2 linked regions of the Arabidopsis thaliana genome follow. The protein of the gene in region 2 purifies or fractionates together with the protein of the main gene of each other region. This does not show direct contact. Each region holds a gene or a part of one and is shown on either strand. Other genes may lie near its edges.

Evidence for each region.
Region 1: the proteins of SSE1 (region 2) and APEM9 purify together in Arabidopsis thaliana (affinity purification with western blotting; one study listed by BioGRID). This does not show direct contact.

The regions. Positions count from the first base shown.
Region 1 is NC_003074.8:3,302,692-3,307,314, reverse strand, and holds APEM9 (3-phosphoinositide-dependent protein kinase-1), read right to left. Parts: upstream 3,091-4,623; 5' UTR 2,970-3,090; coding exon 2,926-2,969; intron 2,600-2,925; coding exon 2,423-2,599; exon of another isoform or gene 2,278-2,422; coding exon of another isoform or gene 2,261-2,277; coding exon 2,183-2,260; intron 1,890-2,182; coding exon 1,616-1,889; intron 1,529-1,615; coding exon 1,221-1,528; intron 1,130-1,220; coding exon 1,009-1,129; 3' UTR 811-1,008; downstream 1-810. Other genes in the region: AT3G10580 (Homeodomain-like superfamily protein), read left to right, coding at 1-232; CYP77A6 (cytochrome P450, family 77, subfamily A, polypeptide 6), read right to left, coding at 3,618-4,623. UniProt on the Arabidopsis thaliana protein: Involved in peroxisome biogenesis and matrix protein import. Required for pollen maturation and in vivo germination via its role in peroxisomal function, which partially involves jasmonic acid biosynthesis.
Region 2 is NC_003071.7:18,822,364-18,827,596, reverse strand, and holds SSE1 (shrunken seed protein (SSE1)), read left to right. Parts: upstream 1-1,833; 5' UTR 1,834-1,995; coding exon 1,996-2,064; intron 2,065-2,368; coding exon 2,369-2,426; intron 2,427-2,716; coding exon 2,717-2,936; intron 2,937-3,020; coding exon 3,021-3,585; intron 3,586-3,659; coding exon 3,660-3,727; intron 3,728-3,908; coding exon 3,909-3,970; intron 3,971-4,070; coding exon 4,071-4,132; 3' UTR 4,133-4,430; downstream 4,431-5,233. Other genes in the region: AT2G45700 (sterile alpha motif (SAM) domain-containing protein), read left to right, coding at 54-157, 237-381; AT2G45695 (Ubiquitin related modifier 1), read right to left, coding at 853-970, 1,067-1,149, 1,233-1,314, 1,532-1,554. UniProt on the Arabidopsis thaliana protein: Involved in the formation of peroxisomes, lipid bodies and protein bodies.

The sequences.
Region 1 (4,623 bases), on a different chromosome or scaffold from region 2:
GCAACCACGTTTTGGTGACCAAATTCCTCCGGGTGAATATCACCCCTACTCCCGGGACAATGTAACCGTCACTGGATCCAACTTGAATTCTATTGGCCAGCAGCCACATTTTAATGACCAAATTTCTCCGGATCAATATGGCCGCTACTTGCAGGAAAACTTCGGGTTTTTCGATGATGATGGTGAAGATGATGGGAGTTTAGCAAGCTTTCAACAACTATACAAGGCTTAAGCTTTTTGATGAGATTTTCTGGTTTAGGGTTTTAGAGTTTTTGTTCTAGTCTAGACTTTAGTTGAATAGAAACTACCTACATAGTGATTGCGTGTCTTGAAAAGTAAAGAACAGTTTCACAATCTCGGGATGTTCGAGTTGATCAAGAACAATCCTCTCCAATTTGACATAAGCGGTTTTATTCTCTTTGGTGATAAACTTTTTGTCCATGATCTTTAAGGCATACACAGTTCCATTATCCTTCTTCTTCGCCCTAACAACCTGATTCAATTACACATACGTAAAATCTCCAGGATATGAATTGATTCATGAATCAAACCAAATTGCAGAAAAAGGTGTGATTTTTACAGGAAAAAAAATCGAAAAAATGAATCCTTTGAATAAGAGCCAACGCCATAGATCTTGCCGAGCTCGAAATCATGGTAAGTGAAATTCTCCTGAGGAGCCTTAAAGGCGAAGCTTTTGCTTCTGTAAATAGTTTCACCATTAGAAGATGAATTCCCTTGAAGTGTAAGCTTTGAATCTGAAACTGTAATCCCTTGCTTCTTCGAAATCCAAACATACGAGGATTTATCCCATATTAAAAAGGCAAGGAGAAATATAGATAAAACATAATATGCAACGGGTTCTTAATCATGTTCAGTGATTACAGTTTGATATAAGTGGAGAAGTTTGGGAAAACTAAGTTTGAACTTTGAATAGAACCAATTATGAAAATATTTGAGTGTTGGTTTGGTATTACATAGGCATTTTCAATGCCAAATTTTGATCCATCTTCATGTTGTGGTGCTTGGTATGGATTGAATTGCTGCAAGAGGATTCACTTGGTATGAAAACGCAAGCTTCCAGAAATCTACTATTGCTTTTCTCGTGGACTCCATTTGCCTGCGAATGATCCTGAAACAAGTAAACAAGTTTCACAATGTATTTTTTCATCACACAACTTCTGATCATTCAAGCATAGAAACAAGCTTATAAGAATTCTTACCTTATCAAAGCAGCTCGTTTTCTCTTCAAAGCATAACATATGATTAATCCAACAAGGCTTACGGCAACCTTTCCCCTGGACATGCTAAATTGGGTATTACCAACCTTGAGGCTTAGAGGATGGGATGACCAAAGTGACCAAGGTTCATGCTGTTTAGATAGTTTCAGGAAAGAATCAATCTCATCATTCTTTTCATTACCCAACGACTTCTTGTTATTCACTACAGCATAAGAAGAATCTTTGGAATTTTCCTCAAAAGAACTAGCTGTTTTGAGAGAAAGTAAGGAATGCAATCTTCTCAAAATCCCCTGAAATAGACAGTTTAGTGTAGCATCATAGTTAGAACAAATTCACAATTTCATACACAACTCACGAAAATATTCAATAGTTAGTACCTGTCGCCTTTCCTCAGGCAATGCAGCTTTTTCAACCCATGAAATGGCTAGGCCCATGTCATTTGAAAATTTTGCAAGAACTCCAAAAGTATACAGCTCAACGACTTCCATGTACTCATCAATATCTAAACAGTTTTTCGCATGGAATCCTTTTGTACTTACTCCAGCATCATTTAGGATATAGTGGTTGTCCTTGTAAACCCATATTCTAAAGAACTCTTCCAGAATATCACGTACACCCAAATAGGAACCATTTGATATTTGAAGGCATACTCTAAAAGGGAAAAAAAGGGAAGAAGATCAATAAACTAGATTTCAACAATCTTGTTCTGTGACTTTTGTCTATGCTAATGCATCCAGAGAGCAGTATTGTACTCCCCTTAAGAAGAAAAAGTTTGCAAATAAAATGAATGTTATTGTACTCCCCTTAAGAAGAAAAAGTTAGCAAATAAAATGAATGTATTTTACTCCTAGTTTTGAAAAATAAACTGCAAAAAGAACCAAATATTCTCCTTTTAAAGCATCTTAAGCTGTAATACTTTGAAAGATTTAGAACAAGAACAATACCCAGTAAGAAGAACTTGAACAGGAATAGCTGCAACTTCTCCAAACACATCTCTTAACTCATTTACAATCTCAACTGTCCTGCATGAAAAAGGCATTTGTTGGCAAAAACTATCACATAGCCAAAACTACAACAAGCGTCCAAGACTCTAAAGTTTCTTTAGAGCATCCAATTCCAAACAGAAGTAAGAGGCAAAAGAACTACTCATGTTATAACATCTGAATACAGTAAATGAAATATACCTGCCGATTCCATGCAAGGATTGAACTAAGACCATACCAGCAGATTCCAACATATCATGAAATTGATGATCACCTTGAGAAGCTTCGTCGGATAAAACATCAATGTTGCCAAATATTCTTTTCAGTATAGAGGAAGATAATGACTCTGCCTCTTCATACATAGAGCACACTAGGTAACTATACACATCCAACAAAAAAAAAAATGAGTAATGAAATTGGTACTGAGCCAATTTCTCAACTTGAAAACAGATAATTTTTACAAGTATGAGATAAATTTGAGTGGACATCATCATAAGCAATTTCATTTGAACTTGTTTCTTGTCAAGTCTGTGATGAATCGTTTTTCTACAAACTCTATACATGACTGAATCAAAGCCGGATAGATAATTATCGTGATAACTAATTCTGAGAAAATTTTGACTTCTCCTTATACACATGGCCAAGTACGGAACCAAAATTCGCAAGCATGAAAAATTAAAATTTAAGCAAATTCTCAGGAATACCTCTCAGAACGTTCAATTTCTCCCCAAATATCAGTTGCCTCCATTGTAGAGGTATTGGAAGAAGCTTATCCAAAGCTTCAATTAGACACAACAGAGCGATGAGATTGATTCTGCTCGAATGAAGAACGAGGAAGAAGCGAGGGAGAGGAATTAATTGGGTATTTGCTATTGGGCCAATATAATGGGCTTCTCCTTCACAAATCTAATCAAAGCAAGCTAAGCCCAAAAATGATGATTAGCATTATTCTGGTTGTTAATGGGCCATTAGTTTCGCATTAAAAGTGAAGTAGAACAGTGATACATTGCGTGAACTGTTATTTCAAACATTCAATGATTCATGAACATGCAACAAGATTAGTTAACAAGTTAAAATCTGAGCTAACTTTTGCGGCTCAATGAAAGTCCAGCATCACATTCATGTCTTTTTCATTTTTGACATCGACATGTCTCTTCTCTTTATAGCTACTTGGCCCTACTTTCGGTGTATGTACGAAATTATTAGTGTTAAGCACAATCTCAAGGTAGCTCAGTTTTACATTGAAAAAAAAAAAAAAAAGCAAAATCATTTATTGATGTGTTTTGACAATAAATGAAATCTTTTACTAGAAATTCACAAAGCACTTGACAAATTTCAAGAGTATAGGTTCCTTCTTTAATATATAAGCACACATCGTTTTCATAATTAAACAAATTTAGACCCTTGGCTTAACCATGGCTCTCAACGGTTTCTTCATTACCACCGTAAACTCCAATTTCCCGGCGAAATCAATTTCACTTTCCGGCGGATAAGCGCTCCACTCAAACTCTTGAACCATCTTCGCTAGCATCAAATGCACGTGTACGGTCGCCATCGCTAGCCCCGGACAGATCCGACGGCCAATACCGAACGGCATCATTTTAACTCCGGTTACACCGGTTATGTCCGCTTCCTCCTTACCCGAAATAAACCGATCCGGGTTAAATTTCTTCGGATCAGACCAAAGCTTTGGATCCTCATTTATTCCCGGAAGATAAAACTCAACGTTAATCCCAACGGGAACATCGTAACCGGCGACCGTCGTCGGCTCCGTGACGGAATGAGTCAACGTAAAGTATGTCGGAGGATGTTTCCGTAAAATCTCCTTAACAACGGCTTGTAAAAAGACCATTTTATCCACATCTTTTTCCTCAACCTCACGATCTCCAACCGTTGATTTAATCTCATCGTAGAGCCGAGATTGAATCTCAGGATTCACAATCAGTTGCGCTATACCCCACTCGATCGCCGTCCCCGTCGTATCCGTACCACCGTTAAGAAACTCAGAGCAGAGCGACACAAGCTCTTCATTAGACGGCGTCGTTATACGACCTTCGGTTTTAAGGTCAAAGAGTGTATCAAGATAAGAAAAAGACGACGCCGTTTTATCAGTCCCCGGCTTCTGAATCGCTCTCCGTCGTCTCTCGATGAGTTTAACGATGAAATCAACTTGTTCACAACGAACCTCGAGAGCTCTTGCTCTCTCCTTGGAATAAAACGGAGCAAGAATCGGGAGATAATCATCGAGTCTTGGATTGAGTGTGATCAACACTTTCTTCATCACTTGATCCATATTCAATATCGATTCTTCATCCATTTCGATTCCAAAACACATCTCCAAAAGAATACAAAACGCAGCGAATCTTGCGTTTCTTAGGACCCAAACAAGACCGTCGTTGTCT
Region 2 (5,233 bases):
TATTGGCTGATTTCGTTAGAGGTTGAGTTCTAATACTGTTTTCTGTCCTGCAGAACCGTTACAGCCTTATCGTTGCATTTTCTCCTACTGGTTGGACATCTGGTAAGACTAAAAAGAAGTCCCCAGGAAGAAGGTTGCAACAGGGTACAATAATAAGGTAAACTTTTTGCCTATCTTCATGTCCTGTGGCATTGGGCTCAAAATCATGAGGCGGAGAATCTTTATATATATTTCAGGTACGAGGTTCCTTACAGTGAGCATAGCAGCTTCACGGAGCTAAAAGAGTTTGTGCAAAAAGTGTCACCTGAAGTCATCATACCGAGTGTAAACAATGATGGACCTGACTCTGCAGCTGCAATGGTGTCTTTGTTGGTTACGTAGAACTGTGTTTACATCTGCGATAAGCTTTGCAACAAAAAGGCAGCCTCCTTGACTACCAATTGAGCAGAGACGTCAAAGATCTACAACGAAAATGGATATGTTATGTTCTATCTAATTGTAGTTATGTAACCACATGATTATGTAGTGTTTTTCATCACAAACTCCGAATGCATTTGTTATATCAACTACTTTGGTCTTTACTTATTTCCACTGAAGAAATGCAAGTTGCAGACTAAATCCGTAATAAGAGACCAAGCTCATGGAATTGTTGAGTTTGCTGCAATTCAATGAGGAATATAGAAAACAGATATGCAGATTCGCATAAAGTATCTGTTAGAAAGGACACTTAAAATTGATAAATACTCTAATATCAATCTTCCAGTAAACAAATACATAAAGTTTGGGTAGTCGTAGAGATTACAAACAACAAGTATCAAAATTTGTTACAAAATCCTAGACAATCAGATCTTTTTATCCACCATGCAAAGTGGAAATGAAAACTACAACATCTTTATCTTCGATTACTGTATCGAGCTGACCACTTAGCTCCCAATCACAGTCATTCACCAGCACAAGAACCCCAGGTCTCCTGCACAACAGTTATTAACCTTCATTGAGCTTAATAAAGAAGTCTTAATGAAATCTTAACCTACAATGAGCTGATAAAGAAGAAAAATAGTCTTACACAGTATCTCCTTTCATGAACATCTCAGGTCTCTCTTTGATCAGATTTGTACGAACCCATGAAAGCAAATGCTTCATGGTAAACTAATCCAGGAATCAGAAAAGTGGAATGAGTGAGAGAAAAATTGCGAGCTTTATGATCCAAAAACATAAGAACTCAAGCTTACATCATCAGAGTCAGCTCCATTGGGCAAATCAACGTTTACTTTATGAATCTTTTCAGAATCACAGAGCAGCTCTAACCCACCCCTACACATCACATGTCAAGTTTCACTCTTCTCAATCATTGAACAACAACTAAAACACACACATGGTTCAAGTTCTTAAATTTCAGTATTACATACAATCAATCAGGAAAATAATCTCAAAAGACACCAAGTCAAAATCAGAACTTTAGTGAGGTAAAAACTAAAAACGCTACGAATAACAAAACTCCGATTACGAAAAGATTAAGTGATAATCGTACCCGAATTCAAGAGTTAATTGCATCGTCGTTGATGTTTGCAGGAGGAACCAAATTCAAAACCCAGCTCTTCTAGGGTTCGTTCGTGTGGTGTTGTTGTTCACTGTAAAACGACATCGTTCAGGTTGAAGACATGTTGGGCTATTTAATTGGGCCTAAAAATATACTACAAGATAAGGCCTATTACTTTTCCCGATGAATCATCATCTTATGTTAAAAAATTACTTATCGCATCGTAACCGTTGATTACAGGAACTGTAACGTATCAACGGACGATATTGATTCCTAGTTTGTCACTGAAAATAGAAAATAGATGGTGCCTGATATTTTTCCAGCGACCGGCAAAATTGCAACCAGGAAGAGAAAGAAAATCAGAGATTGATTTAACGTGAATGGAATTTTGTTGTTTCCCAATTTCTTCTGAGAAATAGCAAAGTTCAGTTTTGTTTCTCTCTATCTGAAGCTCAATGGAAGCTTATAAGCAATGGGTTTGGAGAAATAGAGAGTATGTACAATCCTTTGGATCCTTTGCCAACGTAAGATTCATTTTTATTACTCTTCTCCTTAATTTATTTTCCAGTTTGATTATGTTCTGATTCTCTGTCGATTTGGGTTTGTTTTCGTCTCGTCGTTAGTGTCAATTTCTAAGTTTTTCATCGTCTGCTTGTTTGAATATTTTTTGCTTGAAGGGTTGTGTTTTAAAATCGAAGCTTTTATTTATTGGGTTTAAGAATGAAAACCCTTTGAAAAAATTTAAGAGTTGAATCAGTTCGATCTTTTAATTCGTAGTTGTGGAATTCATCAGCTGATAGTTCGTCAAATATGTTTGTTTTGTTGCAGGGATTGACATGGCTGCTTCCTGAGAAGTTTTCTGCTTCAGAGATTGGACCAGAAGCAGGTTTTGTGATACTTTGGTAACATTTTACTGCTTTCAATCTTAGAATAACTGTTTCCTTTATCCCTGTTAGCTCCTAAAGTCTCTTGTCTGAATAATGAACACTGTCCTATACTCAGTTTTATCGGTTCTTCTCAAATTACATACTTCACTTGTACCTCCTCACATGTTTCGTGTCCTAAGTCTTTAACATTAGAACCTTCAAGTTCCAAAGAATGTTTCTTTCTTTCTTCTTTTGTCAGTTTTGTGTTCATGGAAGTGTGATTGAAGTTTTTTGGTAATCTTCTTTGTAGTAACGGCTTTTTTGGGCATATTCTCAACGATAAATGAACACATAATTGAAAATGCTCCAACACCTCGTGGCCATGTTGGATCTTCCGGGAATGATCCATCCCTTTCTTATCCACTACTCATCGCCATCCTCAAGGATTTGGAAACTGTTGTGGAAGTGGCAGCTGAACACTTCTATGGAGACAAAAAATGGAACTACATTATTCTCACTGAAGCTATGAAGTAAGCTTGCTTTCTTCTGATCACTTGGATCTACACAACCTACTTAGTTGGCATTTTGATATCTTGAAAACTTTGAATTTTCAGGGCTGTCATTAGGTTAGCCTTGTTCCGGAATAGTGGGTATAAGATGCTTCTTCAAGGAGGGGAAACACCTAATGAGGAGAAAGATTCTAACCAATCCGAGTCGCAAAATAGAGCTGGTAATTCGGGTAGAAATCTCGGGCCTCATGGTCTTGGAAACCAAAATCATCATAATCCATGGAACTTGGAAGGACGGGCGATGTCTGCTTTAAGTTCATTTGGTCAGAATGCAAGAACAACAACATCTTCTACCCCCGGTTGGTCTCGAAGAATTCAACATCAGCAAGCAGTTATAGAGCCTCCAATGATCAAGGAGAGGCGAAGAACGATGTCCGAGCTACTTACTGAGAAGGGTGTTAATGGAGCGTTGTTTGCGATTGGTGAGGTTCTTTACATAACGAGACCGCTCATTTACGTTCTTTTCATCAGAAAATATGGAGTCCGATCTTGGATTCCTTGGGCTATATCGCTTTCTGTGGACACACTGGGGATGGGTCTTCTTGCAAATTCGAAGTGGTGGGGAGAGAAGAGCAAGCAAGTCCATTTCTCAGGACCTGAAAAGGATGAGGTTAGAAATCTCTTGGACCTCAATACAACAGTAATGTTGAACCGATTTAACTCATATTCTTGTTACTTCTTCAGCTGAGGAGACGAAAACTGATATGGGCATTGTACCTCATGAGAGATCCATTCTTCACCAAGTACACAAGGTGAGTGTTCTTATGGTTTCAATTATGGCATTTTCTGAAATGGGAAAAATTGAAACCGAAGTGGTTCATTTCCTCTTGGCTCTTATGTTAATATTAGATTTGGTATCCCTGGGTTTTAGGCTTAAAGCTTAAGCTATCGCGGGTTACTAATAAATCAAATATGCTTGTCTTGCAATTGCAGGCAGAAGCTGGAAAGCTCTCAAAAGAAGCTGGAACTAATTCCATTGATCGGATTCCTCACAGGTTTACTTTTTAAAGCTTTCATTTCATTCACGAGATCACTGATTGTCTTGTCTACTTGCCATCTACTGACCTTATTTTGGTTCTCTCATGGAAATTGCAGAGAAAATTGTGGAGCTTTTGGAGGGAGCTCAGTCACGGTACACTTACATATCGGGATCGTGAGGTTAAGCGTTTTACTTATGGTTTATATGCAACGGAAGAATATTGCCATTGTTGGAATGCTTTTTCAGATCATCAAAGGCTCCTACAGATTTCTTAGGGAATGGTTTCAGGCTTTTGTTAGAAATTGTGTTTATTGCAACAGGTAGAGAACATAACCATAGACAGATGTATCTGAAGAGATAAGCTTCTCTATGTCTAAAGAAATGGACCGATACGAATAAAACAAGCATCATTAAAGATTAAATGGTTTGTAAGAAATACTACACTTATTTATGTGAAATTGTGTGGTTAGTGAAAAGTAAAAACATCGGAATCCAAAACCTCAAATTTACCAATCAGCCCAAATTATTGATGCTGGCGTAATGAATGGTATGCTGATGGTAGGCAAAAGTTGGTGGCTGCGAAAATTACAACATTATCCCTCTGTGGTGGACCCGAATCTGTAATCGGAAAAGGTGGAACCCACTTGGTTTAACTTTTAAGCCTAAAAGGTTACTACCGGTTTGACCGGTTTATAATTTGGTGTTTAATTCTAATCCCGGATCCGTTTGTTTGTTAATCTCAAGGCCACGTTATCGCCAATATTTTGATTTTTGAGTGGGTAGGGAATGGTGGGGTCGAATAGTTGGGCCTAGCCCTCAACAATGTGTGGAACTGAAGAGAGTAGGGTCCAGCTCAGGCCCACATTCACATTTTCGTTTTGTAGCCTTTCTTTTCTGGTGCTTACGGTCCCTCTTTCTGGTCGGTCGTATGTACAAGTAGCATAGCTAGTGGTTCAAACCCGAAACAAGTACCAACGAATCAAAATAAGTTTGAATCGGTTACATCTAGTTACCGTCGAACTTACAATCATTTCGATTACTTTGATCTGATTTCTAGTTCGGTTTGTATGTTTAATATCCGGATTGTACAAGTACACAAGTACATAAGTATGCGTATATGTATGTGACCGGTTTAATCAAAGGACGGACGATAGGAGGATTTTGGAATCCTGGAAAGAGGATTATTCCATAGACACTAATTAGCTTTTTGGTGGCGCAGCCTTGTGACCTACATTAATGGGGTCCAACCCCAAGTATGGGCTTACAGCTTTTTCCATAA